2 linked regions of the Lonchura striata genome follow. Each later gene encodes a partner of the first gene's protein in a complex. Links are inferred from orthologs where the notes say so. Each region holds a gene or a part of one and is shown in the gene's direction. Other genes may lie near its edges. The genes, in order: RGS9 and RGS9BP.

Evidence for each region.
Region 2: RGS9 (region 1) and RGS9BP share a complex: the UniProt entries of both Homo sapiens proteins name them as parts of the RGS9-1-Gbeta5 complex. The link is inferred for Lonchura striata from reciprocal best matches to the Homo sapiens genes RGS9 and RGS9BP.

Annotation. Positions count from the first base shown.
Region 1 is NC_134621.1:9,421,885-9,437,587, reverse strand, and holds the start of RGS9 (regulator of G-protein signaling 9), read left to right. Parts: upstream 1-9,044; 5' UTR 9,045-9,125; coding exon 9,126-9,188; intron 9,189-15,350; coding exon 15,351-15,447; intron 15,448-15,703. Other genes in the region: GNA13 (guanine nucleotide-binding protein subunit alpha-13), read right to left, coding at 1,491-1,773. UniProt on the Homo sapiens protein: Inhibits signal transduction by increasing the GTPase activity of G protein alpha subunits thereby driving them into their inactive GDP-bound form. Binds to GNAT1. Involved in phototransduction; key element in the recovery phase of visual transduction.
Region 2 is NC_134615.1:7,701,178-7,717,077, reverse strand, and holds RGS9BP (regulator of G-protein signaling 9-binding protein), read left to right. Parts: upstream 1-8,790; 5' UTR 8,791-8,906; coding exon 8,907-9,620; 3' UTR 9,621-12,825; downstream 12,826-15,900. UniProt on the Homo sapiens protein: Regulator of G protein-coupled receptor (GPCR) signaling in phototransduction. Participates in the recovery phase of visual transduction via its interaction with RGS9-1 isoform.

The DNA of each region.
Region 1 (15,703 bases):
CCTTCTGAAGGATATAAATCAACTGTCCTCATATTGCAAGAAAATTATTTCTAGTATTGAATTTGCTGACGAAAAAATAAAAATAAAAATCCAGAAAGACTAAGCAACTGTAAAGGCATGGGAAGAGATATAAGGAAATTAAGATGTGGCAACAAATGACTGTTCAGTAACATACTCATTCGATGCCAAGGTGTTTTCTCAAGGTTCAGTCCTTTTCCATGGTTTTTCTCTCTGTCAAAGGCAGGTAGGTATCTGTCAAATCTATCTGTGACTGCAGGAAAAGAGCGTCCCAGACAGATGTGCAGGTCCTATGTGTATACCTTCACAGAGCATGAAGTAGCTTTAACAATAAACTTTAACCTGGTTGAGATTCATGTGCATGATTTCTACTGCCTTCTACTGCTATAAGTAGTTTTTCCAGGCTTGATTCATCAGCAGGTTTGTAAAACAACTCTCTTTGAGAATTGCTGGATTTTCAGGAGCTGAGTCTGGCAACACTGTGCTGTTTTGAGAAACTTCATTAAGATCTGCTCCAACTATTACACAGTCCAAACTGAATATCCAAGGAGCAATTTAGGTAAGAGAAAATGCGTGAAGACGACCAATGAAGCCAGGATGACAGTAGTGAAATCAAGCGTCCACTACTCCCCTAAACCATGTGTGGAGGTTTTGGCAAAGGATCTATGAGAGAGGCTCTGCCTGCGGGTTGCAGTTAATTGATGTGTCAGCCGAGCAGCGATTTCCACTGCAGCAAAACGCTGAAAGCAAAGGGCTGGGCTCCTCCTCATGCACTTCCAGGTGCATCTTCCCCCCATCCATTACCGCTCATTAGAGCACTCGCATTACCAGGAAATCACAGAATCACGGAATCAATTAGATCGGAAAAGACCTCTGAGATCATTCAGTCCAACCTATGACCGAATACCACCCTGTCAACCAGACTTGCCATTAAGTGCCACGTCCAGCCTTAAACACTTCCAACGACAGTGACTCCATCACCCCCCTGGGTAGCCCATTGTCTCAATGGAAGAAATTCTTCCGAACGTCCAGCATAAAGCTCCTCCGGTGCAGCTTCACACTGTCCCCTCGTCCTATCTCTAGTTCTCTGGGAACAGAGCCCGAACCCCACCTGGCTACCACATCCCTCCAGCGGTTGTAGAGAGCGATAAGATCACCCCTGAGCGCCCTGTTCTTCAGGCTGAGCCCCCCCCTTGTGCTCCAGCCCCTTCCCCAGCTCCGCTGCCCTTCTCTGGCCTCGCTCCAGCGCAGCACCGAGGGCCAAGCGGGCAGCTCCCGGGGCCGGAGCCGCCCCGCGGGCCGCAGCGGGCGGCGCGGTGACACCGCCGCGGGCCGGCCCCGGGGCACGGCCGCGGCGCCGGGACAGCGCGGCAGGCGGCGGCGGCCGCGGACCCGCCCGAGCCGCCTCTCCCCGCCCCGGCCCGGCCGGGCCCGGCGCTCGCAGGGCGCCCGTCCCCGCCGCCCTCACCCACCCTTGATCACGTTGCTGTAGATGGTGGCGCGGAACTCCTCGCGCGCCGCGCGGTCCCAGTCCTGCCCGTGGATGATCCGCATCTGCTTGAGGAAGGTGGACTTGCCGCTCTCGCCCGCGCCCAGCAGCAGGATCTTGACGAGGCGCTTCACGTAGGTCTTCTCGCGGTTGAGGCACTTGTCGATCTCCTTGGACTTGCGCTGCTGCTCGGCCTCGCCGCTGGTGAGGAGGCAGCCGGGGAAGCAGCCGGCCAGCGCGGAGCGGGACGGCAGGAAATCCGCCATCTTAGCGAGCGCTGCCAGCCAGGGGAGCGCCCGCCCGCCGCCCGCGCCGCGCGCGCCCCGCACCGCGCCTGCGCGCCGCGCCGCGCCCGCCTGCACGCTCCCGCCCGGCGCGTGACGAGCGCGGGCCCGCCCCCCGCGCCGGCCCCGCCCCCTCCGGCCCCTCACAGGAAATGGCGGGAGGGACCCTCAGGAGCGGGCCTGCTCCTGCGCCGGCTGCCTCACTGCCCTTCCCAGCGCCCTGAGATCCTCGTAGCCAGACTGGCAATTCACCTGTAAAACACCGCCTTCTCCTCAAGAAAGCCCCCGAGTCGCCTTGAAGTGGAGCTTGAAATCGCGATTTTTCAGCGCCGTTCCTGGAGGAGATCCAGGCTGTGCCTCCTGGCAGGTGCCAGGCTGCTCGCGAGGAAACACAGTGAAAGAACATTCAGGCACAGGGTGCTGCTGTGTAATGGACTTAAAGGTTTATAGATGCACATGATCATAATTTTAATGTGCTTTGTAATGGAAAATAAATTTAAGGTGGGCTTCATGGAGTCATAAAGGTTTGGAAGAGACCTTTAAGATCCAGTCCAACCACCCACCCAGCATCCATAAAAACACATCACTCAGCACCAGGTCTGGATGTTTCTCAAGCACTTTCAGGGATGGTGACTCTACCACTTTCCTGGGAGCCCTTTCAATTGCCAGACCACCCTAACCATAACTTTTTTTTTCCTAATCTAATGAATCTCCCACCTTGAGGCCATGTGCACCCATCCTCTCACTGCAGGCAGGCAGAAGAGACTAAATCATAGAAACACAGAATCAATTAGGTTAGAAAAGATCACTGAGATCATCCAGCCCAATCTGTGACAAATCACCTCTGTCAACTGGACTATGGCACCAATTGCCATATCCAGTCTTTCAGCACCTCCAGGGTGTCTCCACCACATCTCTGGGCAGTCCATTCCAATGTCTAATTACCCTTTCTGTGAAGAATTTTTCCATAATATCTAACCCCATCCTCCCCTGGAGCAGCTTGAGGTTGTTCCCTTGTTCCCTGGAGCAGAGCCTGACCCTCACCTGGCTGCACCCTCCTGTTGGGAGTTACAGAGTGAGAAGGTTCCCCCTGAACCTTCTGTTCTCCAGGCTGAGCCCCCTGAGTTCCCTCAGCAGCTCTTGGTTCTCCAGCCCCTTCCCAGCTCCATTCCCTTCTCCAGACACGCTCCAGCCCTTCAATCTTCTTCCTGAACTGAGGGGCCCAGAACTGGACACAGGAACTGACACAGCCACTCCTGTCCCTGTCCCTGTCCTTGTCCCTGGCTCCTCATGGGTATGTTTAGGAGAGAAGACTGAGAGGACATCTCATCAATACATATAAATATCTCCAAGGGGAATGCCAAGAGGATGGTCCCAGACTCTTCAGTGGTACCCTGTGACAGGATGAGGAGCAATGGCTGTAAACTAAAACACAAGAAGTTCCACCTCAACATGAGGAAGAACTACTTTCCACGGAGGAGGCAGAGGCTTGCAACAGCTGCCCAGAGAGATTGTGGAGTCTCCTCCCTCTCAGGAGATGTTCCAAACACACCTGGACGTGTTCCTGGATGACTCTGCTTAGGCAGTGGGGTTGGGCTGGATGATCTTAGGAGGTCCCTTCCAGCTTTAACAAATCTGGGATTCTGAGGTTCCATGGAAAGGAGCCCCAGGCTCACCCGACCCCGTGGATGCAGGGAAGCTGCTGGGCAAGCGGCCCAGGGAGGTCAGCCCTCAGTCAGGGGGGCAGGATGGTGCTTGCCAGCTAAGCAGGTTTTCTTTTTGCTGCAGAAAGAGAGCTGTTTTGTTAAAACATTTGAAAAATTGGCATGTCCTTCCTCACTGCCTGGCTGAGAAGAGCTTCCCAGTGCTGCAGGGTTGCAGCACCGAGCTGAACAAACAGCCTGGGTCCAACCTCTCCCGAGGCACAGTGAGCAAAAGAGAGTGGGACTCTAGCTGATCCCGAGTTAAAAGGAGCAAAGATTTATTTTCAATGGCAATCCTTCATGTGAGGAGTAGAACAAATCTTAGGCTGAGGGACCTGCAAGGACTGAAAATCTCACGGACTGAAAATCCCACACTTCATTCAACACAGCCCTAAGCACAGCTTAGTAATTTGTTTTAATAAATTAACTTTAACTACCATCAGTAGTGCAAAGATTGCATTAAACATTTGTCTCTCCTTACATCTCCTAGTCTTTGATATCTGCTGAAATTTCCTCTTAATCTTTTTCTGCTTTTCCCCCCAACATTAATAATAACTTAGAAAAAGGGAAAGATAAATGTGAAACTGTGAGGTGAGTTTAGAACAAGGAAATGTTACTTGGCCTCAGCTGGAAGGACCTTCAAAATCTGAAAAGCGCATCAGTGTTCTCTCCTTAGGTTGGTCCCACATGGAGATAAAACTGTATGGGAATTATTTCAAAGGGGCTTACCAGAAAAAAAAAAAAAAAAAAAAAAAAAAAGGCATTTCTTGTAGGAGAACAGGATGTGGTACAAAATTAATACAAGGAGCACGTCCTGTTACTCTTGGTACAGATGTGGAAGCCAGTCATTCCTGAGCTCTGGTCTCAGTTTTAAAATGAAGTTTTAAGATATTTGTCTCAACTCTCATCTTACCTCCCTAGCTGCAGAGGACTCCTGAGTTTCTCCAATCGAGCCACTTGAGTGCTGGGGAGTCCTTGACCTCCCCGTTGCTCTCCCCTTCACGTGGGGAGCTCTCCAAACCCCCACTCCGTGCGCTGGCACAGCAGCCTGGCTCCCAGCCAGGGAGGGGCTGTTCCTGCCCTGCCTGACCGTGTTCCCTGGAGAGGGCTCCGCACCACCCAGGTCACTGTGAAGCCAGCTGCATCCTCCCACCCCAGCAGCCAGGCTCCATCTCTAAGGCAGGGTGCATAAGGTCTTGCTCTGCTTGGCTTTTTTCCTTCCTCTTTGCCACTTCTTTCCTTAGCTTTCCTGGAAAGCCCAGGAACGACGGGAAACAAATGCTGCCCGTTTGCCCCAGCAGCTCTTCCCATGAGGCTGCTAAGGAAACTTCTCATTTTGAGTGCTTGTGCCCCACCAGGCAGGACAATGGACTCTGGGGATATTCCTTTAACCATTGCCTTGCTGGCAGAGCTGAGCTCAAGTCACTCCTCTCTCTATGCCACAGTTTGCACAATTTTTTTTTTTTTTTTTTTTTTTTTTTTTTTTTTTTTTTTTTTTGAGCAAACTGCTTTGAAATCTTCCTGGAAGGAACCAAGTGCTAAAACCAAGCCCCCACCTGCCACTTGTTTCACTTACTGTTACCCCTTCCTTCCCCTCAGGGCGTCCCCAGCTTCCTTACATAGAAAGGTAGCTTACTCACCACATGCCTTTTGTGTTGGATGATTCAACTTTCTGATGTGTGAAAAAGGGGCAACCACGTAGGAAATGTGACCTTTTAAAGTCAGGGGGGGATTCCCTTGGCAGTGCTTTCCACAAGAGAAACTCTGGAGAATTGAGAGCCAGTCTGTTGAGAGCAATCACAGCTTGTGGGGCTGCACAAGGAGACCAGAGGGATAAAATCCGGCTTTCAGCAGAACTTTTCCCAGCCTGGACACACTCTGTGTGAGAGGCTGGCAGGGATCTGTGGGCTCTGGAGAGCCCATGGACACTCACCATTGCCCTGTGATTTGATGTGATGTGATTGATGTGATGTGATGTGATGTGATGATGTGATGTGATGGGATGTGATGACCACAAGGGTATTTCCACTATAGCAGCTTTTACCCTGTGTGGGGTAGAACACCCATGGAAACTTGCAGCTACATAAATACCACTGCATTTACTATACAAAACAGGAGGTTAAGGGCACTCCCCAGATAATGTATTTCTGCATTATCTGGGGGGCAGAAAGGCCAGGGTGAACGTAGGGAGTCAGAAATCTGGAGGGAATCTCCTTTATGACTGCTGCCAGTGCTCTCCACCACTCTTGTTGTTGTTCAAGTCCCTTGTTTTCTTGACCAACAAATATGCCAGCCAGGCTGCATCAAGGACTGGAGAATTCTTTGCTTTCTACAAGTGTGGGTTTCGTGATTAGAGGCCCAGGAGTGTCTGCCCTAGACAAGCCTCTATAATCTGATTTAAATGCCTCGTGCTTCATGTGGCAGATCTGCCCAAGAGCATTAACTGCTGGGACGGTTCACCTGGGCACAGGTGAAATATCAACTCATCTGTGTTTGGTGCTGTGGGTCACTCACAGATGTTAATAAAGCTGAATTTACCTTGGACATGTTGTGGAAATTACACAAACTAGCTTTAAAATACAGGAATATCCATAAGCTTCATCATAGCTTGTCAGAGAAGACTAGAAATAGAAAAAACGCCACACCTGACCTGTGAGGGGGTGTTTGGGGGATCGGAAGGATTTAAAATTATCAGACTCTTTGGAGCTCAGTGAGGCTGAAGAGCTCACAACTCAGCGTGAGCTTCTCAGAGCTATTTTTCCTGGATCTCCTGCAAGACCATTTTATTTTTGAACTCACTTAAGACCCACATTTCAAATGTTTCTCATGACTAAGACACCTATATTCTTCAGTGAAACTGTTAAAGTCAGCATTTTGAGGTGAAATGGTTTTATTCCTTTAATTATGTGGGACATAGGAAGTTGTTGGTAGTTGATCCTTTACTTAGGCCAGTGTTAGCACCACACCTGGAATTTTTCTGAGTCCTTTTACCATCACTTGTGTAACAGACCAAGTTGTTTGGTTTTAAAGTGCAAATGGTTCAGAGGAAGCATTGTAGACTGTAACAAGTTTTCCTATTTTGCCTAAAAGACCAAGAAAATGAGCCACATCTTTTTATGTGCTCCTTACTCTGATGTTATCTCCCAAAGAATTCCTTGCAGATACTCCTGCCACTATCTGTCTCTCTAAGAGATGGAAGCACTCTAGCTCACTAGCATCATCAAAATGCCTGCATACCTTTGCTGTGCTTTCTCTTACTTTCTAGCTCCCCTCTGAACTCCCTTTCTCCTCCTTTTTGCCTCCAGGACCATCTGTGCTGCTGAGTTTGTCACCCTTGGCCTTTCAGAGGGGCACCAGGATCTGAGTTTGGTTTGGCAGAACAAAAAAGCACTTCAGACCCTCAATTATGAGACACTGCAAACATGAAGAGCTCCACTCCTGCTCCTTTTGGCCATCACCTGATGCCTTGAAGCATGAGGCAGGATAACTTGGGTACCAGTGTGGAATGACAGAAGTTGCTCATCATCTTTGTAGAGCAGAGTGTCTGATCCAGCTGTGACTTACAGGGGAATTCCACATGGGAATGGTTGAGCAGACACAGGGGAAAGGCCTTCCAAAGTACTGGCTCATCTGCATGCTATGAAAGAACAGAGCTAAAGATAAAACACTGCCACAAGGGCAGCAAAGCAATTGGGAAAGCAGCCTGTGCCTTCAGGGCATTGCTGTTCATGGAAAAACTCTGCTCCGAGCTCAGAGCCAGCCTGCTCCCCTCAAGTGTGAGAACCACAGAGCCTAAATCCAGAGCAGTCACAAACACCATGCTAGGGAAGGCACTGCCCTGAGAAACAGCTGCACATGTGTGGGGAGTGCGAGTGCTCCCCATGTGGCATGGCAATGTGGATGTGAGGTGTGTGATGGGGTATAAATGTGGGGGTATAAATGTGCCTGTATCATCTGCTCCTGTGTGCCCTGGGTGCACAGGGAGAATGCCAGCAGTGTTGGGTGGGATCAGCCCACGGAGAGAGAGGTGTGAGTGCCTGCTCAGGACGTGTACAGGTGGCACTCTGGGCACACACAGGTGTGAGCACACACTCCCGTGTGGCTGTTCTCTGGGGTGTGCAGGAACGTACTCACACAAGGAGCTGTGCCTTTTGGCTGGCAAGAATTCCTGGGAATGCATCATCCAAGCCCTGGCACAATCAGATTCTGTGTGAGTGAGGACTCAGACTCTCCTCCTGTCCAGCTGTTGGCAGCTGAGCTGGGGGCAGCAGAAGAAACTCTGCCAGTTTCTGGAGGAACCAGGCAAAATCTTGCTGGAGCTCTTGGTTTCCAGTCCTGCCAGTGAGGTACTGTTCCCCCCCTGCCACCCCATGGCATGAGGCAGTTGCACTGTGAGGAAGAACTCTAACCACATGGTCTTCCTCTGGTCACTCTTCATCACGATTTCCCCATGAGAAAAAGCCACCAACTCCTCAAACTGCCTGTCTGGCTCCTGCATTCACAGCTGAGCTGTCCAAGGCTGGTGGCATTCAAGGGACATGTGCCCAAAACACTGCCCAGCCCTCATACACACACAGCACTCAGCCACAGCACCTTGGCCTCAGCTTGTTTTACATGACTTCATAAATTCCAGAATGATCTTATACCTTTATTTTCTCCATCACTTCAGCACATGCCTGACCCCTGGAGCCAGCTGGGGTCTATAGGGCTCTGCAACAGGAACTTGGGGGGATGGGGCTGTCATTCCTTGGGCCCTACGCGCCCTGGGGAGCCGTGGCTGAGCGGGATGCTGCGACCACAGATCACCCCTGCAGTGCTGCCCGGGCAGTGCTTCATGGACAGTCAGCCTCCATCGCTTTCTGTGCCTGCTCCAAACCCAGGCCAAGAGCCTGGCCCTTCATTCCATCCCATCCCATTCTGTTTTGTCCCATTCCATTTCACTCCATTCCATTCCATTCCATTCCATTCCATTCCATTCCATTCCATTCCGTCCTGTCCCACCCCATTCCATTCCATTCCATTCCATTCCATTCCATTCCATTCCATTCCATCCCATCCCATCATATTCCGTTCCATTCCATTCATTCCATTCCATTCCATTCCATTCCATTCCATTCCATTCCGTTCCATTCCATTCCATTCCATTCCATTCCATTCCATCATATTCTGTTCCATTCCATCCCATCCCATCCCATCCCATCCCATCATATTCCGTTCCATTCCATTCATTCCATTCCATTCCATTCCATTCCATTCCATCCCATTCCATCCCATCATATTCTGTTCCATCCCATCCCATCCCATCCCATCCCATCCCATCCCATCCCATCCCATCCCATCCCATCATATTCCGTTCCATTCCATTCCATTCCATTCCATTCCATTCCATTCCATTCCATTCCATTCCATTCCATTCCATCCCATTGCCATTCCATCCCAGCCCCTCCGCGCTCTCCCACGAGCGCCCCCAAGCGGCCGCCTCACGCCTTCATGCAAATGAGCGCGGGGCGGCGGGTGCTGATTGGCTGCGGCGCGCAGCGGTGGCGCCGCCCCCGGCGGGTGTCGGTGCGGGCAGCCAGGTGCGCCCGGCGGGGCCGCTCTGCTCGCACCGCACCGCACCGCACCGCCACCATGACCGTCACACGGCTCGACCAGGGCCAGCGCTACCGCCCGCGGATGGCCTTCCTGAAAAAGGTGAGGGCTCCGCAGCGCGGGGACAGCCGCACCATTAATGGGCACGCCGGGGCCGCGGCCGGGCGGGGCGATGCGATGCGCAGGGCAGCGCAGGCGGTGCTCCGAGTGATGTGTGTTCACAGCATCCTGCCCGGCCACGGCTCCCCGGGGCACCTCTGGGCGTGTGGGTCCGAGGGGTGACAGCCCCTCGCCGGGAGTTTGGAGCCATGACCTGTTGCAGAGCGCCGTGGGTCCCAGCTGGTTCGGGGGGCAGGCTGGAGGAGCAGCTGTGCTGGAGTGATGGAGCAAATAGGACTGTAATGTTATTTATTATTTGTAGCTTATCTCAGCTGAATGGTTGCCCTGACACCTTCCATTATTTTTTTCAAAGTCCCTCAAATCCGCATCAGCTCCCAGGGAAAAGCCCATCTGCAATGCCAGGCCACTCAGTGTAGCTCTGCTCCAGTGGCTCCAGTGTGTTCCCAGTGCTTTCAGCTCATGTCCACATTCAGAGCGTGTATTGCAGCCAACTGCCTGCTCTCTGCCTCCTTCCAGTTTTTCAGACACGAGCATATTTGTGGCCAGAAGCAGTAGAAGGAGTGGGATGATGTATGCCCACGCTTTTGGGTGTAATGCGTAGTTTTGTGCAGCATTTGGTGGGCTTTTTCTGTAGCATTCATTCAAAACATAGCCAGTTGTAGTGTAGCTGGTATATGCAGATTTTAAAAAGCAGCGTGTTAAGCTAGCTTTTCTCCCACCCACCTCTCCTGAGTGTGGCTTATCCTGTTGGATGGAATTAACTGAATTTCCAGTGACAAGCAAGTTGCTGTTTGAACTGTAGTTAGCTTTCCTCAATGCCCACAACCTAAGGAGGATTCCAGGGGTAAAGGGAGGGGAATTTGGGGATATACAAGCCTGGCAGTACTTACTACACCAGAGGAAGTAAAGAGGGTATTTTCTTTGGTGCTATGTCTTGCAGGGTAAATTTGGCTGGGGAGCCCTGCCAAGGGAAATACTCCAGGCCAAATTCTGTACTGAGTAATACTCGGTGGAGTTGTGTGCGGGGGTGCAGAGGAGAAGCTGTGTGCTTTGAGAAAACAACTGCCTGCAGCTGTGCTTCAGCTGCTCCGTGGGAGTGCAGCAGTCTCTGCAAAGTGCTCCGAGTTCCTCAGGTGGGAAGATCAGTCAAAACACAGCGAATGGCTTTACAGAATGTGCACCACTCACACTGTGAGCAGCCAGGGGGGCTCAGCTCCTGTGCTTTGCAAGTCTGGGACCTCTTAGCAGCAGGAAGGGAAGCTCCTGGTGGTCAGTGAAAGCCCTTGACTCTCATCTCCACTTTCATTCCTGCTCTGTTTTTCCAGACCTTGGAGAAGCCGTGTTTGGAGCCTCAGCTGTTCCATGGCAGTGTGCAGGCATCCACATCCTCAGAGCTGCCTGGAAACACCAGGCTCCTTTACTGGATGCCCACGGCAGGAGCTGAGGATGCTCAGCGAGCACCTTACAGGCTTAGCTTAACCCATGAGGAGCTAAAATCCTGGAAAGAAGCTTTGTTAATTGCTTAAGCCTGTGCTCACGCTTTGCCGCCAGCTGACACGCGCTGTGCCTGGGCTGCTGCAGCTGCAGGGAGGGATTCCTGCCATGCTGCCAGCCCGTGGGCCCCGTGGGCCCTGGCAGCTGCCAGCTGTGCTGCCTCTGCAGCAGGAAGCTGCTGACCACAGCAGCAATCCTGCCAAGGGACACAGGGAAAGGCCAGGGGGTTGCTGTTGGGGTGGGGGGCAGTGCCCTGTTCTTGCTGTGAGGCTGCTCTGGGTGGCTCGGGCTGGACGTGCAGCTTGGTCTCTGTGGCTGAACTGGGAGGGGATCAGAGGCCCCCAGAGCCCTGCAGCACCTGCTCATCATGCTAGCACTTATGTTGTTTTATTCTGTTTTTTTCCCCTTTCTAAACCATCTTGGCTGGAAGAAGAATGACCCAAAAGTCTGTTGGGCCAGCAAGCAAGTCTCTGAAATGCATCTTGGCTGGATGCTGCCAGAGTTTCAATGAACTCAAGCTCTCGGTGCCTGTGCCTGCTCCAGCAGCCAGATCTGGCTGTGCTGGGCATCAGCTGGCAGAGCTGGGCTGTGCTCTCCAGGAGCTCCTGGGCTGGGAATTGTTCCTTGCTGTGCTGCACGAGCTGCACCGTGACTCACACCTTGTGGGTAGAGCTGATGGATGCCTTCTTCCTCTGCCTCCTCCTCACTCTGGTCCCTGGTGGCTTCTCCCAAGCTGTGCAGCAGCCAGGGAGGGGCTGTTCCAGGGTCTGCAGCATAGCTGGGGGCTTTTCCAGCCTGGCTTTGCTTCTCCAGGCTTAGACTTTCCAGCAGCTGCCGGGCCTCATCTTCCTGGGCATTTCCAGAAGCGTGTGAGCAGCTGAATTGTGTTTTTTGCTGGAATTCAGCAGACTCCTGATCTTTGAGGCTGAAGCTGAGCCTTAGGCCAAGCACAGCCTCATCCCATCCTCCATTTCCTTGTTCCAGGCTGGGAGATGCCAGTGCCACATCTTTCTTTGGAAAAAATCCTCCAGACTGGGAAAAGCCAGCTATAGCCCTACCCTCCCCACTCACAGATTTATTTCCTTTAGCTGAGGCATCACTCAGTGGGAACAAGCCACTTCCCCTCAGCTTTAATTAAGAAAAAGCAGGAAGTTTTAGCTGGTTAACAATGGGTTTTTTTCATTTCTTCTTTTTTTCTGATCATCCATCAACGTGCAAAGCCAGATTGGTAGTTGTAGACCTAGAAAACAATTGAATGAGCCTTCAGAGGCCAGAGTGAGGATAAGGACTGTATTGTTACCTTGGAAATCAGAGCAGGTAGGGCTGATCCTTGCAAACAGCAGCAGGCACTGAGGGGGGCTAAGCCAGGCAAATAGGATGGAGAAAGCAGCAGATGTTGAATTATAGCACCAGGACTGTGCACTCAGCTGGGAACTGGAAATTCCTGCTGGGAAAATGGATCTTTCTTATGTCTGAAGCAAAGATGCCTCTGTCTGGGTTGATGCTGAGAAGGGCTGAGCTTCTCACCTTGGCAGTGATTTGCTGGTGCATTTCTGAGTCTCAGCATGTGGAGTTTGTTTTTTCTGCGTTGTGGATGCCCTGATCCTGGGGAGCTGGTGGGTGCCCAAAGGATAAAGCTCAGGATGACAGGGATGGGACCTGCACCCAGGGTAACTCAGCCAAGCAATCCATCAGCAGACTTCTGCCCCCACTGCTCCATGCTACAGGAAAACATCAATCCTCCTTCTCCAGAGCCAGCCACCATCAATTGGTGGCCATTTTCCTCTCCCTGGGGCTTCCCACAGGCTCCTAAAATCCAGTGATGGTTTTTCTCCTTTTATAGGATTTTGAGTTGTGCTTTGCACTCAGTGAGCTGAACCCTGTGACTTCATACAATCAGAGAGGGGACAGACAGTTTTCCTGTTGTCTCCTCTGTGGCTTTCAGGGTGAGTTCAGGCAGAGATTCCAGCTGATCTGAGGGGAAATCTCCAGGGGGCTCCTGCCTTGTGGTGTCTGTGTGCATGAGATGAACTCTCCCTGGAGCCTGGCTCCTTCAGCACTCCTGATATTTACCTCTGTGTGCATCTCCACCCATCAACCAGTCAGGAAGTGGCTTCTGGCTCTGCAAAATTCAAACCAGACAGCTCTTTCCTGGCTGAAAGCATGACAAAATGGACTAGAGCCCTCAGCAAAGCAAGGCAGTGTTCCTGCTGTGTCTGAAGCAGCCCTCCTGGCCTCCCTCTGGCAGCCTGGTGCTGATAGCAGCTCCTGATCCTGTAATCCACTGTTCCCTTGGGAGAAGAGGCACAGACAGGCTGAGGTTTGATCAGCAAGGTGGATGGTTTGCAGAGCTAGGCACCCCAAAGAGCAGCTCCTTGCTTTTTAATGTATTTGTCATTTCTCCAGTGACAAGAGGGAGTGTGGCAGAGTGTGAACACCATGAGAGTTGACGAGTTGCTGGTTAAAGATGGGAACAGGCTGTGCTGGGGGCTGTGGGGGTTCTGAGCCAGTTCCCTGCTCTCAGCTGTTGAAGATGTGTCTCTTGAGCCCACCTGGAGAGCAGCAGCTGCGTGCTGCAGCAGGATGTGCTGTGCTGCCTGCCTGGAGCACAGATCCTGCTGGGATCTGCCAGGTGGTCACTGCACAGGGACAGGGGGGTGAGCAGGGCTGTGTTTGCCCCCAGGATCTCTGCTCTCTGTGAAGGGACTGTGCAGTCACAGGGAGTGACTTCCCAAGGTACCTGGGTTTGCTTAGAACCCCAGTTTCCTAAAGAGTGCCCTGCCTGCTGGACCATCCTACCTCATCCCACACAGCTGAACTTTCTTCTGAGGCTGAAACTGTGGGAACCCAGAGCTTCCCTCTGGCTGCCCTGGGACCCTGGCAGGGTCAGGAACCCCCTGGACAGAGCCCCCAGAGACACTGGCTGTGATCTCTGTCCATGGAAAAGAGTTTTCAATCTTACAGGGTGAATTACCAGCTCTGAGGGTTTGATAGAAGTAATAATTAAGTGTGGCACGGGTGCAAAAGTAAAATTTTAGGATTCTGTATTAGGGGTCTAAAGGGGACAAGATGGAGGAAATTGGGTGTGCCTTGTCCTTTTTCTCCTTCTTCATGCCCTCCATGTCTCACTGTGGTGTTGGCATTTTTCTGTTGGTTCAGGCTGGGGACACACTGTCCAACGTAGGTGACAGATATTGGCACGTTCTTGTCAATGCAGCCCAGGGAGTTTCTGGTATTTAATGTTTGTCACATCCCACTGAGGGCAGAGCCCCACACGCTGCCCTGCAGGACAGAGCTGGGCAGGGCAGCAGAACATGTGAGAGATCAACAGAATAAACAACCTGGAAACCAGCACAGACCAATTCTGGCTTCTGCTTTGGCAGGGGGCTGACAGACAGAGACTTTCTGCAATCTCAGAATCATCAATACCTCAGATTCTGACAGAAATTGTGAATTCTGTTAAAAGACCTAAAAAACGCCTTCATATTCCATCACTTCTGGTCTGGTTTTTTATATTTTAAAAATATTTCATAAGTATTTATACAAATATTTATGTTAAATTTTACCAGGCTTCTCCATTTAGCATTAATTTGTCAGTGCTTTTAAAAGCAGTTGAAAATCCAGTTTTACTGACAAGCCCACAGTGTATCCTGTCACTACAGCTTAAATCCTCACAGAACTTGGCAAGACTTGGGACCAAAGTCACTGTGGTGCCTGGGAAGACAATACCCTCCATTATGTGTGTGTGTCATCAACTCACACTCGTTAAATCCTCCACTCTCAGTTAAAAAGCTACAGCCTCACCCAAACCAAATGTGTGGAGAGACCAAATTGGTCCTGTTGGACCAGTTTTGATTTAATATCCCTGGAAGCAGAAGACAAAAAGAAGAACATCTTCCCCAAAGCTCCCATGGCACTCAGATAATCAAAATTGAGGACAAGAGGAGTGTGCCCCAGCTCCATCCATCTGAGCACAGATCCCAAGTGAAAGCAGTGCTTTGTGTTTTGGGAATGGTGCTGGTAGGAAGTCAAAGAGGAGGAAAATACCTTGGAAAATATTTATCTTTTAAAAAGAAATAAGGATAATTGGGAATGAGAAATAAAAGTTGTCTGACCCCAAGTGTGAGACTCATTCTCTGTTAAAAATAAGTCAGGAGGATCCCTGAGGAATCCCAGGGGGGAGATGCTGCCAGAGAGGAAGATGTGCCTTCCCCATCCCTGGAGGGGCTGAGACCTGGCTGGGGGAGTGCAGCCCTGCACAGGAATGGTCAACACCTCCTTTGCACCTCCTAACAGAAGCACAGATTTTATTCCCTCCCCACTTTTCGTTCTAAGTGCCCAGTGAGCCAGAGAAGAACCTTTCTCGGTGTAGTGGGGTCTGGGTAGCAGAGATTTTATTTATTTCTTTTTCCTTAGCTCTCATGGAGTGGTTCCATCCTGTCCCTCCTGTGCCAGTCCTGGCTGGGTGTGTGTCCAGTGGCAGTGTGAGCTGCCATGGGCTGCAGGTGGCACCTCTGGTGCCAGGGGAGGTTCAGAGGGGGCTGTGGCCACTGCATGCATGGCTGTGGCACACCAGTGCCCACCCCTGGAGTGCTGGCTCCCCTGCTGCCCGCTCCTGACACCCAGCCCATCCCATCCCCTGCTTTGCAGATTGAAGCTCTCATGATGGAGATGCAGAACCCAGACACAGGAATCAAGACACAAACACAGACAGTGACGATCACCAGCATCCCCCACGCTGTGACAGGTAAGAGCTTCCCTGGGGGAAGGGACTGGGCCCAGTTCAGCAGAGAAAATCTGTGTGTGGGCCCCTGGCCAGGGCTGCCAGTGCCTGGCTACGTGCTGGAGCTTTGTTCCCAATAAATACCAGCTGTACATCATTTGAGATGTACCTGCTCCCTTGATCTCATTCTCACTCTCATTTCATTCCTACTCTTCGAGCCAGACACGAAGGTTGATCCCCAGGCACTTTCAGCTGTCTCATGGGGGTTAACTCAAGTGAC
Region 2 (15,900 bases), on another chromosome or scaffold:
CAGCAGGTCAAGGGAGGGGGATCTGTCCCTCTGCCCCACTCAGGTGAGACCCCTCAGCAGAGCTGCCTCCAGGCCTGGGGTCTGAGCACAAGGACATGGAGCTGCTGCAGCAAGTCCAGAGGAGGGGCACAAAGATGCTCCAAGGGCTGGAGGCCCTCTGCTCTAGAGACAGGCTGAGAAAGGTGGGGGGTTCAGCCTGGAGGAGAAAAGGCTCCAGGGTGACCTTATTACACACTCAAGTACCTAAACAGGCTGCAGAGACACTTCAGACAAGGACCTCAAGTGACAGGACAAGGGAAAGAGATTCCCACTAAAAAAAGATGGATTTGTACTAAACATACAGAAGAAATTCTTCCCTGGGAGGGTGCTGAGGCCCTGGCACAGAAGCTGTGGCTGCCCCATCCCTGGAAGTGTCCAAGGCTAGGCTGGACAGCTCTGGCACAAAGTGTCCTTGCCCACAGCCAGGGGTGGAACGAAATGTGCTTCAAAGCACCTTCCAACCCAGGCTAACCAATTCTATAATCCCTGATCTGTCCTACCACAACATCTGGATGATCACCAGTAATTCCACCAGATGAGAACTATAAAGATCTCTTGGCAGGTAGCTGCAATCCAAGTCCAAGCTGTGGGCTCCTTCTTCAGCCAGTGCAGAGGGAAGAGAAGAGGTAGCACAAGCCCTGTGGCAGGTCTGCTGCAGGAGCACAGGTATCTCTGCTGATCCACGCAACAGCGGGGCTGAGACACACCTCCACGGGCAGGACTAGTTAGCTGCAGAAAACCCTGCCTGAACACCTGGCTAGGCCACAATTCCAAGTAAGTCATAATGACAGCAGCTTGCAGTCCAAACATGATTCAGTGACAAATTAGTATATATAACTAAAAACAATTTAGTGTAAGTCAAGCACCAAGCAGGGCTGTAAGAACATATACATGTAACCTGCAAAATAATTTGCCACAGCAAGACTTGAGAGTCCTACATGTTTTGTTTTGTTTTTTTTTTATGGCTTTGGATGTTCCTGTCCTCATCACAGCAGATAAACTGACTGGAGCAGAGACTGAAGTAAGAAAGGAAAAGGAGCCCTGTAAGCAGAATCCAATCCATGGAAGGCAGTGATGTTTATAACCAAGAAACTGCATGAAGCAGGCAATGATTTTTTTTTTCCCCACAGGTGGATCAAGCTTTCAGTCAAGGGCATTTTTTCCCACATCTAAGAAGTAGGCCTTAACTGAAGAAAACAGGCTCAGGTTACAGGTCAGGAACACTTTCCAAAAGGAACAGGAAGCACATGGTTTAGATTGCTTGGCACAGCTATCAAATCTCTCATGTTGTAAATCTCCAAGAACGTGTCAGACAAACCTCCACTAGAAGTGACAGTGGACATAGCAAAGCTGGGAGGGTGGATGACATGGTCTTTTGAGACACTTTCCAGATCAAGATTTCATTAATGCAGTTGTCCCACTGAGGCAGTTTCATCTGCCTTGAGTTTGGTGAATTCATGTATCTGTCCAAGCAGCAGAGGATCTGACTGCTGAGATCTTCCCCAAGACAGCGATGGAGAAGCTGTTAACACACCACACACTGTCAGGGTGAAAAAGCACATTGACACAAGGAGGCAACCAAGCATCAGACTGTAGTGCTAAAACTGCAGAGCACAAATGTCTCCAACAGCTTTATTGCCAGTCTTTCAGCTTAATGAATCTTCAAGTCCAAAAACTTCTTTCCATAACAGGAGGGGAAGATAACACATATCATAAATCCTCCTCATAAAAAAAAAAAAACAAAAAAAAAAAAAAACAAAAAAAAAAAAACCACAACCAACTGAAATTTAAAGTAACACTTCATTCCCTGGCATAAAAGGTATAAAAAATTTATCTGAGGAGGAGGGAGGAGAAGCTCCCACAGAAAGCTTGCTGTCTGTCTGACAGACCTCTTAAAATACTATCTGCACCTGAAAAAACAGTATGAGCAATTGGAGTATTTTAAGAATCATTACTGATGGACCATCATAGGGAGCACTTGAAAGTATAATCTTCAGTGTCCAGTTCATGAGTTACACACCACAAGTAACTATGTGCAGCCACACATTCTTAGCTGCAGCTACTGATTCTTTCACTGCAAAACTGATAGGGCTGAATCACAGTGGGAACGCCAGCAAGGAGTGAAAATAAACTGCATTCAGACATTGAATCCTGGTATTTCAGTTACTGTAATGCACCTAAGGTGCCACAGAGGTGCTCCACCCCAGGAAGGAAGGTAAATTTCTAGTTCACACGGGTGTTTGTCACCCTCCCTGAGCACAGCAGATGGGAGCTCTGCATGGCTCCCCAAATGCATGTTCCTGCACAGCAGGAAACAACCCCCACTGGCCACACTGGTACTGTTTTGAGAATCACAACTCTCAATTTCCTTCCCTTTCCCTCTCCCTTACCCCTGCAGCTGTTCAGTGTCTCGTTAGGCATTAGGTATCACATCTGATTAAAAGGAAGACATGAGAAACAACAGGTGGAATACTTATTACCTAAAACAGTTTAGCTACTGCATTCACTTAGCTCTCCATCACTTTCCCATAGCATTCTCCAGAGCACTAGAAGTGTGGATGTAGAAGCAATTTAAGTTATCAAAAAAAAAAACAAACCAAAGGAATTTAGTCTACAGATTCTAGAGAAGACATTAAAGCTTCCCCAAAGCTCAGGCATTTTTGAGATTAAGTCAATTTCTTTCCACCCCAGAAGTTAAATGCATCTGAAAATATTGGCTAATACATTGCTATAATTCTAGGGACACATTAGAATTCTCCATTAAGAGTCTGTTGGCAGAACACAACATCCAGCTTCAACCTAATTTAACTTGGGGGTGACACAGACTTGTTCTTCTAGCTGCACCTTGGACAGCTTTAGCTTGTAAAGCTTTAGCTTTACAGTGAAAACAGAAAATGCACAAAGCCTTATATACATTACCACAACTGATTAATGCCTAACAGAATGCTCATTAAAAACTATCATCAGCTATATTCACTATGAAGTTTACCAAATTCTATCATGCTTAGCAGTAAAGCAATTCTCAAGCACTAATGTTATGTAAAAGGTTTAAACATAATCACTTCAGTGTATGGCTTCATGCCTGTAAACACAAAAATAGCTCAAATTGCTGGAAGAACAGAAGCTAGCTGGATCAGACAATCTAATAAGCATTATGTTACAGTTTAAAAAAAAACAAAAAACTATATTCATAATCTTACAACAGACTAATCCTGTCTATATCAAAAGCAGAGTGATAATTCTAACAATATAACTATGGTACAAAGGACAGCTCAAGTGAAAAACATGGAACCTAAGCATGTCACTGTTTTCTGTAAGACACTGGAAACAAGGCCTAATTACAATTGGTAGTGAAAACAGTGAATAGGAATAAATCCTGACAGTTCATTTTCTCATTGATGGCATTTTCCTTTAGAGATGGACAAATGAGGAACCTTTTCCACAGCTTGCAGGTTTCAGTTCCTTTTAGGAAATACTTTGAAATTTGGACAAACAGCCATGAAAGTGCATGATGACATTGCATTTGCATTGTTACTTAGCAGTTACCTCCTGTCCACATTCAACTTGTACAACTACTTACTCAAACCTTAGCCTCATCATCTTCTGAACATCCTGCTACATCTCTACTAAAGACTAATCAAAACATTCTGCAGAGAAAACATCTTTCAGAACATCATGAGAGATGGTGTATACAAACACTACATAGTCAATGCTGAGCAGCATAACATTCTGTGTTTTCACCATGGCATTTTAATAATAATTTAGCAGAACAAAGTAAAAACAGCTACCAAAGTCAGTAAAAATTATTAGCCAAGTTCAGTAACCTCAGTTGTCTCCAGGATGGCAAGTTAGAATGTTACACTGGGATACTAACAGCAATTACCTCAGTGTGCTCCCCACACAAATCCAGCTTCAAGGGAGCAGAATGCCAAGTTCCCCAAATCCTTCAGCACCAGATCCATTAGCGTGACAAGAAGCATAAATTCACTCAATTTTATTTTACCAATATTGTCAAGTTTCATGGGATAATATCAGCTTCACTTTAGCTCCCAATAGCTACAACAGGAACACTAAGGCTTAGTAACCTGATATTTGCTGAAGTGCTCAAAATAATAAGTGAGGAACACCTCATTACTCAACTAAAGGATTTTTATCTCAGAGTACCAGATAAATACACATACAAACTTTATCAGAAATGTATCATTCTAGCAAACTGCACAGCTCCACACACAAAAAAAAAAAGTAAAAGGAAGCAATTCTAAGTTAAGGGGCTTTTTTTAATAGGTGTGCTTTCTGCACACACCTTAAGAGCACCACTTGTTAGGAGGAACAGCCAAAGGTAAGCATATCTTAGAGCTCTTTACAAGCAAACAGGAATCTAACAGTGGAATTTAAACAGACTCAGTCCAAAATCTCAAGTTACCACTCCAGTTCTTGTTTTACAGCACTATTACTCATTGGTTACTCTGCTTCTGGGCAAAAGTTACAATCTGAACTTTAGCCCTACATCAGAACTCACTTCAAAGTAAAAACAGAAGATTATTTCTTTTTCTGAGCATTTAAAAACTCTAAAGGATGAGTGTTGAGCATCCTATGAAAAACACCTGACATATTCCAGTACACCTCACTCACCATGAGGGAATAAATAAGTACATCTATTACTACCCCTTCTAGATTCAGATTCACCTTGTACTGACTTCTGTGAAATGGAAGTATGCAAGAGTAGCACCTTGAATTATCAGATTATAGAGTGGTGAGTGGTAAATTCACATCAGTCAGCTCAAGGCTTACAAGCAACCAGTAAAAAACTAAGCTTTACCATCCCAGAACATCAGCCTGACAGCAATAGAACAGAGTCTGGGGTCATGATCACTCCAGGAAGATACTAATTTCTCTCAGCATCTCCCTTCCAGGCACACATTTCTTCCAATGAAGGGTTAAGGGCTGACACAAAATCTCACGGCTTGGGTTTTGCCTCTACCCAACACCTCCCAAGCCTTTTCCAAGCCTGGCAGCTCTGGCCCTGCTACCATTGCTCCATATCCTTGGACAGGCATCCCCCAGAGCCTGCAGCAGTAGTGAGCACACAGGGCTGTACCAGATCTTTGTGCAGCTTCTTATGAGCCCCACCTCCAACTCCAGAGCTCAGCTCACTCAGGAGAAATGGTGAGAAGGTTCACCTTTTATATTTTAGCAGTGCATTTACACTATTGTTTGATGTGAGCACATCCTTACATGTCCTAGACTTGGGGGCTTGAGTCTCCCCCATCACTTGTTCCTTTCCTCCAGAGGAAGCACATTTCCATACATGTGGATCCTTCAACAGCCAAGCTTCCCACCTCTACCCAGTTACTTCAACATATTCAAACACATCTTGCTTGTCATCAGCCAAGCATCAGGAACAAACTGCATTCTCTTTTCACAACCGGGTAGACACAAGATTTCCAATTCTCACAGGTTTAGAAATCCACCAGAATGGCTTCAAAGAAGTTTCACTCCTTGGCTTGCCACTACTGAAGCTGCATTACACTCTCTGATGGGCAGCCCTGAGTTACTCCAAGCAAGCCCCCAGAAAGTGTAAGTGCTGTTCAGTGAACCATCGACAGTTACAAGGAACATTTAGAGGGAGACCATTAACAGCAAACACAAAGTTCCCACAACAGCTTCTCAACAGCATCAAACAAGGATGCTTCCTTCAAATACCAGGGAGCTGTATTTAAGGTCACCTCCCCCTCAGGCTCTCAGAGGTTTCTGCACTTTGGTACTTCACACCCCTTCTTTGGAGGGGAGCAGGGGGTTAAAATTCTTACGGAGTTGAAATACACAGAGGTTTCCTGAAGCCAAATCTTTTCATTCATTTAGGCAGCAGCGCAAGGGTAAGAAGGCTGGAAAACAATTCAGCAGGTAAGCTCTAAGGCAAAATAAATTATTTTAACTACTACTGGTGTTACAATTACCACCCAATGCAACATGTAACAGCCAAAACTAATTAAGAGCTTTCTGGAAGTAAACATCATGATACAGAAATATCAGTCTAATATTCCCCTACAATATAAATTTAGATTCTTCCTATGGATTAAATGCTCTCACCACTACATACAAGCAAAAACCAAATCACAGAAGTCAAAGAATTCACAATTTATCAGTGATCAGGGAGAGGGAAGGAGTTGATGTCACATTTCAGTTTCACTGTATTTCATCCTTACTTCTTCATCTCTTAGTGGCTTCAAACTTTGCCAAGCCATAGCAGTGTACAGACCAAACTTAGTACATGAGCTTACTCTAAAAGCAAGTCCCTCAGACAAGGCTTACCAATTATTAAAGCAAAACAAAACTGCATTTGCCTATATGCTACTTTAAAGTATTAAAATGAGGCTATAACATTTAATTAGTGATGTTCAAGATACATCATAGAATACTTTGCAAACACTGTTAAGAGTACTGCACAGGAAGAATACAATCGTTAACATCTACTGCAAGAAAGTCTTGCCACAGAACCAGGAAATATATTTTTTCTACTACTCTTTATGCTGCTTCCTAAGTCAGTTCTAAGGATTTTTACCTCCATCCTAATAGTTTTCCCAGGACAGTATTTTGGCTAGACAGCATCTTGTTTGAAAGCAGTATCAAGATATGAATTTTCACAACATCGTACCTGACTGACAAACAACTGAATTTTAAGAGTTCCCATAATCTAAGCAAGTTGTATAACTGCATGCAGCTGAACTTAAATTAGAAGTAATCTAAATAACAGGCTCTTCCCATACGACACACCTAAAGATGTATTTAGGCATTACCTGATACAGATTATGATTGCTGCTACCTTCAGGTTTAAATAGTCACACTTCTGAATCGATCCTCCCTACCTCTCCTTCCCAGACACATTTGCAGAAGTGGTTTCTAGATTCTCGCATAACTTCAGTACTCTGTGGCAAAATTTAAAAATAGCTAAAACAGACACACAAATATGCATAATTTAGTCAGCAATAAGCTTAACACTTATGTCACATAGTACTCCAGCTTCAAACCCAGAGCTAATCCTTTTTCCACCTGACAATGATTAGGCAATTACAAGACTTCACTTACAATCAGATCAAAATCATCCTGTGTTTCTTTATTCCTACAAAGAAACAGGCATGACTGATTTGCTTCTTCTAGGCTACCAACATGCAAATTAACAGAGCTACTCATCTTAGCTGGCAGTAATTTGATAACCTACACAAAGTTAAGAGACCATTTCTTCCACAGGTAGCAAGCAGCCTGCAGCAGAAGCTGCACAGGTTTTGGAACTAGGGCCAAAAAGCAAGATAAAACATAAACAAAAAAAACCCGGTCAGTGGAGTCCAAGCTACCAAAATCTAGAAAGAGGAACATAGGCTAGACAAGACTCTTCAAGCTGGGCTCAGCAGCAGAAAGCCAGTCTGCCTGGACTCTGTTCCTCTTAGTAAATTATCTTGCTCATAACACACACTGCCCTGCAAAGGCAGTGATAAAAGATAAGAGAATGGGTCACGCTCCTCTTGTGGGACTCCTGTGGCTTCACAGCTTTTTCAGGCTACTGTAGCATCACAAAAACCACTCAGCTCCCCACAAACGCTGGGCCATGAGTGGTAGTGTATGTTGTGACAAGCAAGCTCTCCAGAAGCCCACTTCAGCAGAAACACCAGGTGCTAGAGGCAGCAGAGCTCAGGTCACCGAGCGGCACTCGCATCACCTCCATCCCGCTGGCCGCACACACGAGCACGGCCTGGTGCCCGTCGGCGCTCACGTGCTGTACCCAGCACCGTGCCGAGGGCAGCCGCTGGAGCACGGCTTCTGACAGCGTGTTTCCTGCCCTCCTGATGTGCCACGGCCTGACTGAGCCAAGTGCGGGTGCCCCGGCCCGCACGCCGGCCCTTCCTCCGGGTGACAGCAGCAGCGAGCTCCCTCCCCAGCCGGGTGCCGGCGCGTCTGAACACACGGGACAGCCGGGCCCGGGCAAGCCCGACCCGCCACGCATCGTGGCGTTCACTGGGGCGAGGAGCGGCCCGGCCGCGGTCCGCACGGCGCGACCCCGCCGAAGGCCGAGCGGGCACGGCCCCGCCGCCGCCCAGGCCGCGCCGAGCGGCCCCGGGGCACGGCACGGCGGGCCGGGAGCGCTCCCTGCTCCCGCCTCGGCGGGACGGTCCCGGCGGGAGCCGCAGGCTGCCCGGGGCGGGAGCGCCACTCACACCGACACCATCGCCCCCCTGCTCCCCGGCCGCACAGCCGCTGCCGCCCGCCGCTCCGCGCCCCAGCCAAGCCCTACCGGGGTCCAGGGCGGGCCCGGCGCGGCCGCACGAAGCCAATGGCCGGGCAGAGACGGGAGGGAGCGGCGAAGAGCCGGGAGCACCGCGGGATCGCTGCCTGCGGAGGCGGAGCCTGCGAGGGCTTATAGGGCCGGGCCGGGCGCTCCCCCCATGTGACCGCGCGGGCGCCCAGCTGGGGCGAGTCAAGTGGCGGCGGCGGGGACCGCCGGCTGCCCGCCTGCCGCTCCCCAGAGCTTTAGCCTCGGCTTTTTTGATTTCTTTTTTTTTCCTCCTCCATCCTCGGCGCTTGGCACTTTTCAAACAGCAGCGCCCCGCTGAGCGCGGCGCGGACCGAGCCGCCCCGGTGGCGCTGCAGGCGGCGGTGGTGCCGGGAGCGATGCTGCCTGCCCGCCCGGGCTCGCCGCCGCCCGCCCGGGCTCCCGGAGCCGCCTGAGCGGTGCTGGATGCGGGCGCGACCCGGAGGCAGCGCTTGCCATGTGTGCTGGTAGCGCCCGGCTGTGGCAGCGCCCGCGGCCCGGCTCCGGGTAGGTCGGGGCGGCACCGGGCAGGGCGGCTCCGGGCACGGCCCCCGCCGCCACCATGGTGAAGGAGGAGTGCAAGGCGCTGCTGGACGCGCTCAACAAGGTGACCGCCTGCTACCGGCACATGGTGCTGACCATCGGCGGCACCTCGGACTCCCAGAACCTGCGGGAGGAGCTCAAGAAAACCCGGCAGAAAGCTCAGGAGCTGGCGGTGGCCAACAGGAACAAGCTCACCACGGTCCTGAAGGACAAAACCGTGAGTAAGGAAGATAAAGCCGAGTTCGAGAGGCTATGGGTGATTTTCTCCACGTGCCTAGAGATCCTGGAGATCGATATGAGGAGGGCCCTGGAGCTGGGCCACGAGTTCCCGCTGAACGTCCCCAAAAAACACCTGATCCAGACGGGCATGAGCGGGGGAACCTCCGGCGTGGCCGCCCGCGCCATGAGCGTCCAGAACATGAAGTACGAGGCTGAGCACAACATAGACGTGGTGGATTTGAAAGACCTCGAGAACGAGATCAACCAGGTAGGAGAGATGATGTACGAGATGGAGATGAAGGTCAATGTCCCCCAGTGGACAGTAGAGGCTAAGCAAGACCCAGGGGCTGAACTGAAATCCACCATCAGTGTGGGTGCTTCCTCTATTGGCATGATCTCTGTGGAGGAAAATAAATCCTTCTGCGATATCAGCAAGGTTTTAGCTGGGATTATTTTCACTGCTGTGCTCATCATCGCTATTGTCCTGGCGGTGTGTGTGGTAAAACTGTCTTAGGGTGGTGCAAGCTCTGACACGAGCGACCCCTCTCAAGCCTGTCTCTGGAGTGTTTCATGCCTCACCTTCACTTCCAAAGTGTGTCACTTGGATGAGCTGAGAATTTTAAACGAGCACTTGAAAGAACAAAGCAGAACTTTTGCCTCTGAATATTCTAAAATGCACTATTTGTTTCTTCATGCTTTTTGAAGAAAAGAGATGCACAGAATAGAATGTCTTCGTTTACTGGACTTGTAACAGTTAAGAGAAGTATCAGGGTATTATCACTACTGGCTGTAACAGGGATTTGCCTGCTATTAATAGGTCACTATTCTCAGAAGCCTGTGGTTTTTGTTCTTCACTAGCTCTGGTGTTTGCTGCTGGTCACTGTTTACAGTATTGGAGGGTAACATAAATGTGATGGCTAACATGGGTGTTTTGTCTGACCAAATGAATAGAATACTTCTTTTTTTCCATCAAATACAAAATATATTTCTTGAGCAGAGGAAAGGGGTAAGGATGAAAACCCCAATTAAAGAATGTAACCAGCCTCTATTTTAAATAAGTTATGGTTGGGGAGGGGGCAGAAAATGGAACAACGTTTGATACCAAGTACTGTTTGTTAATTTAAACTGGATTGTACAGAACCCAGTTGCATGAATTGGCACAGTGTATGTAAATGACTAATCGCTTTCCAAATCCAAAGAGCAAAAAGGAAAAGTTGCATATTTAGAAAAATACTAGGAAGCCTCATGGTTTTCATTCACGTTTACCACGATGTTATCTTTCCCTGCCTCTGAAGCAGCAATTTGTACTCCGTGATAAACGATGAAAACAGCAGCAATCAATCTACCCACAGCAGATGCAGTAACATGGGAAAATAGATTTTAGCAAAGAGAAATGATGTTAAGTTAAAGCAGACTTTCCCAATGGGATCCCCTCTCCTGTTGACAGGCAGGGACTGATGCTTGTATATGTACAGCCACATTTCTGCAAGCTCCCAAATGGCAGAAATTCAGACAAAGCTAAAAATGTGTCTCAGTTTCATATCTCAGTCATGTCTGATTAATCATCTGGGAAACAGGAAGCCTTTAGGATTGGTCCCATTTGATAACGCTACAAATCTAGAAGGGAAATGCAACAGCATAAAACTTTCAAGTGCTTCCCTGTGGAATTGTCAACATTTAAATATAAAACTGTGGGAACAGACACTTACTTAGCAGAGAAGCTTTACAATGTTTTGTAAAAAGTATTTATGTGTTATAGTATTTATTATTTACTTCTGGAAATACCTTTTAGTGCTGTGAACACACACTGTCCTTTCAGGAATGCTTGGTACATGTGCTACAGTGCCATAGGTGTATGGGGCACTCCACAGCCAAATATAAAGACCCCAAAATGCTGGGAGTTTAAGAAATAATTTTTCTTCATTGATTATTACGGGAACATTATCCAAAGTAATAATCAGACATTTTTTGTGGACAGTCTTCATGCTTGTTAAATAAAATTGACAACATGCATAAACACCTAATATTTTTTAGTATTTTTGAGTTAAGAACTAAACATACTTCAAAAAACTGCAGCAAACAGTTTATTCTTTAAAACTTAACTGGATTTATTGGGAGGGGAAATGTATTTGAATATGGTCACTTGTAGGTGAGGAAAAAAAAATAGTAAGCAGAGGCCTGAATTCAAAGCTATAGATTATCCTTACATTGAAGGATAATGTGAGCTCTGCACATTGGTCCAGTCTAACTCCATTCTCTCAGGAATTCAGAGTGTTTCAAGACAACTCCACATTCCTTTCTGTTGTATTTCACTCATTCCATAGAGTATGTTTTTCATGCAGTTAATCTGTGTCTGTAGAGATCCCTGACAGCTGTCTAACAAAGCCTGGTCTGTATTTATCGGTGCTACAGTTCCAGCCTGCCTAGACAAGGTGTAATTGCTGAGTGTTCATTTAAATTCGATGATCCGCTTCACAATCACAATAAGTAAACATATTTAAGGAAAATACAGTAAAAGCTGCAGAAGACTGTACCTATTTGGATTGCCACCTGTTGTCATTAAGGACCTGTGAATGTTTTCACTTTTTGCATGCTCAGTTCACAGGAGGGTAGAGAAGCCATTGGGCTTTATTCTGTCCTTCCTGAAAACTCCATATACCTTGTGAAATCAGACCATTTAACCACATGTTCTCAAACCCCCAAGTCATGAATGCAAGTCTGTTTTCTGGTGGATACGTAAATGGTAACAATGACCACATTCATTATCTTTTATCTTGGTATCTTCCACATACCTAACCATAGATAAATAGTTTATCCATGCTTAGTGTAGAAGAATTTTTAAGAATAGGTCATCTTTGAAAGCAAGCCTCAGTGGGTTGGTAAATTGTAACTTTTCAGTCCAATACAGTTTTGGGTTTTTATTTGGATTTTTTAATAAATTCAAAGAATTCATATAAATAGCTTCTAAGTATGTAAGTCTTGCTTTATTATGAATATGCACACAATTACTATTTAAAGGATTTGCCTTGGGAAAAGAATTTTCAAATCTTAAGACAAAGCTGGCTGCAAATTCATTCATCATTAGTATGTTCCTAAAAATCTGTATCACCTAATATTTAGGCTATCTAAAATTAATAGATTAAGCAGAATTCTAACAGAGGATTGGCACTGTCTACATGGATAAAGTGCTGCCATTCGTCTCCTACACGTGTTTATTCCATGTGACAGAGTTTGGCACAACACTGCACAAAACCAAAACTAAATGAAACCACCATTGCCCAAAAGTACAGAGGCTTCCTTTAAATTAAGAAATAGAGATACACATTTGTAGTCTTCATTTTTTCCCCCTACTGGAATGCAACTGGAAGGAGACTGGAAGTGCTGCTTTGTAAGTGAAAAATGGGAATTCATACTTCAAAATACTCTGTATTGAAACAGCATGATGAAAAAGCACATACTCTCATGTTGATTGGTGAGAATGTAATTATAGTACAAAAGAAGATGGTCATTGCTTAATTAATATCAGTGTTGATCTACTTCAGCTCTTTTGTCTTTAGTCACAGAATACACATATTAAATTTGCTGTATACTAAAATCTTACTCCTGACTTGAATTACACTGGTTTTGCCTGTGCATGGGTTGTATTTTCTACACTTTGAATAATGCAAACCTGTTACTGTCACTATTTATTTAACTTAAAATAAAGTACTTCCTTATAACTTACTGGTTTGCTTGCAGCAGTAATTTAAACCAAACAAAATCTGCCAGAGCAAGTCCAGAGGAGGCCACAAAGTTGATCAGAGGGATAAAGCACCTCTGCTGCGAGGAAAGGCTGGGAGAATTGGGATTGTTCAGCCTGGAAAAGACAAACTTTGGGGTGACCTAGTTGTGCCCTTCCAGTGCCTGAAGGGAGCCTGCCAGAAAGATGAAGAGAGCCTGTTCACAAGGGATGGAGCCACAAAGGGAAATGGCTTCACACTGACACAGCTGGTTCTGATGAGATACTGGAAGAAATTGTTCCCTGTTAGGATGGTGAGGCCCTGGCACAAGTTGCCCAGAGCAGCTGTGGCTGCCCCATCCCTGGAAATGTTCCAAGGCTAGGTTGGACAGGGCTTGGTACAATCTGGTCTGGTGGAAGGTGTCCCTGCCCATGGCAGGGATTGAAACCAGATGATCTTTAAGGTCTCTTCCAACTCGAACCATTCTATGACTCTTTGAAAAGCTAGAGTATTAATATGGCTTATCTGTAGTAGGCTCTTCTAAGCTAAAGTTCCTGTTTCAAACACAGTAATAAAAGTAATGTGCTAAGCTCTCTTATTTTGTTAGCATTGTTAAACACAGCCCTCTCAAACTCCCAAAATTGAATAGTGATGTAGCATACACTGCCAGGGAAGCCACAGTCTGAAAAGCCAGGAAATATCTGCCTTGGGAAACAGCTACAAACAGGTGATTCTGCCTTCAGCACTGGTGGCAAGTACAGAACCATTGGTTTGGACAACCTGAAAACCAGACTAGACTGGACTAACAATTGGATTCTCCTTGTGTTAGGATCCAAACTCTGCCTCTTTCAGCCAGCAAAGCTGGCATTTACTTTAGTAAAAGATTTACACAATCTAAGGAGTGTGAAACTTAGTCCTGTGGTATTGGTAGCAACAATGATCAACAGTTGTATCAAACCACCAGAACTGAGTCTGTTAAACACAGCAATATGTAATTTCATTCCAGGATTTCCAGCCTATCACCATAAAAACCCATTACACATTTATAGTTTAGGAACACAGGATCGTAATTAATGTGATTCTTCTGGTGTTGCAAACAATGTAACATGAAACTTTAGCACTATAAATATAAAATAAAATTAGTTTCAAAATTCTTCATGTAAGTATGAAAATATTTTTACAGTAATGCAATTATTTAAAACTGGACCAAATAACTGATGTAATTAGCTTTCAGATTAAAAATTAAACATGTGCTTATTGTTCATAGAGAGGATTGGTTACAGGCTTGTTTTTCCTTCTCTGGAAGGTTTGTGTTGTTTGTTTGCTTTCCACAAATACCTTCTATTTAAGTGCTAATGGAATTCCTAGTCAACATATTTACCCTTCACAGATTTTCATTATGTAAAAAGTCATTCAGTAAGACCAGTGGATTACAGATCTCTAAGTGCTTTCTCTCAATACGATTATGTAAGTCTTTTAATGCAGGAAGAGATCTGGACAAAATAGTTCACACGTGAGCAGCATTTGCTACAGTAAGTGTACAATAAAAGTGGGATTAGAAAATAATGTCTTTCATATAAAATTATCCACTTGTTTCAAAAAAAGGAAAGGAGATGGATGTATGTAGAAAATACCAAAGTTTGCTTTTTGTTATATGCAACAGCATCCCAATGCTAAACAACAGCTTCTCTATAAAAGAAGAGAATATCTTACACCCAATGGGACAGAGGATATAAAATATTCCTGAGGGGAACTGACTCTATTCTCTTATTACCTCTTACAGAGTAACAATAAAAATAGTTTGATTTGCTGCATGTTGTTATCCATTTTACAGAAGACAATCCTTGTCTCCCTCGGTTGCACACTACAAGTGACTTTCTCCTGGAAGAAGGCAGTCCCACGTGGCTGGATCCCATCACCCATCCTCACAGCTGGCTGCTGTGGTACTGGGTGCAGCTGGGATGTAGCTTTAGCAGCTGCCACTGCAGAACCTGTGCAAAGGTGAAAAGTCACAGGGCACTGAACCAGCACCAGGGCTCTGGTAGATCCTCTCAGCCAGGCAAGCACGAGTGTTCCATTGCTGGAAGCAATGTGACTGCAAACACAAATCCACAACCCCTCTGAAACTGCCACCCACACAGGCCACTTTCCAAATGCAATGATGTTCATTGCTCACTTCCAGTCATTTGTGAGACTATTTACTGTGATTTACCAGAGTGACAGAAACTGACTTCTCAGCCCTCCACAGGTGGGTTTTTGTTTTGTTCTTTCCTTGAATTGTATGTTTTATTTACACTGTATTGCATGACATTATTTATCATCTACTTAAATCTCCACCAAATTAAACAAATCCTCTGAAAGCTAGGTGTAATTCAGCTGCACAGAAATGGATTGAACAGCTGTGGTATAAATGTGGTCTGTTATCTTGATCATTTCCACTGTGTGTGAAATTGTCACTGGAGTCACTTGACCAGTCAAGTATGTCTCTCACATACAAATGTTGAAATAACACACACAGTTGAACTCACAGATGTGCCACAGCACTGAAAAAACACACAGCGAAAAAAAAATTACTTTAAAAATCATGGGACTTTTGAAATAATAATAAACCTTGTATCTTACAGTCATCTACAATTGTCTTGGGAAAAAAAAAATTAAATGCAATTCCTCTGTGTGATCCAGAAAAATTTATACAAAAATAGCATAAACTTTGGGGAAAAAAAAAAACCACAAGAAAGGGGAAATAAAAAAAAAAAGACAAAAGAAAATACTTAACTATTTATACCATATAAAATGACTGACGACTGCCAGAGACAGCAAACATGATACTCCCTTAGCAACTTAATCTAATGTGCTAATTGCAGGTGTAACTTAAGAGATACACATTTGAATTCTGAGTCCTGGAAGGTGTGCTCCAAATGATTCCTCAAACAAGACACCAGCGCTCAGTCTGGCAAGAAAATACATGTGTGAAAACTAGTCACATAACTAAAAGGTGCAGAATTAGAATAATTTCCACTTCCATAAGACTGTAATCCATTTTGTGTCAGTTGGAAGTAGAACAGTTCCAGTTGT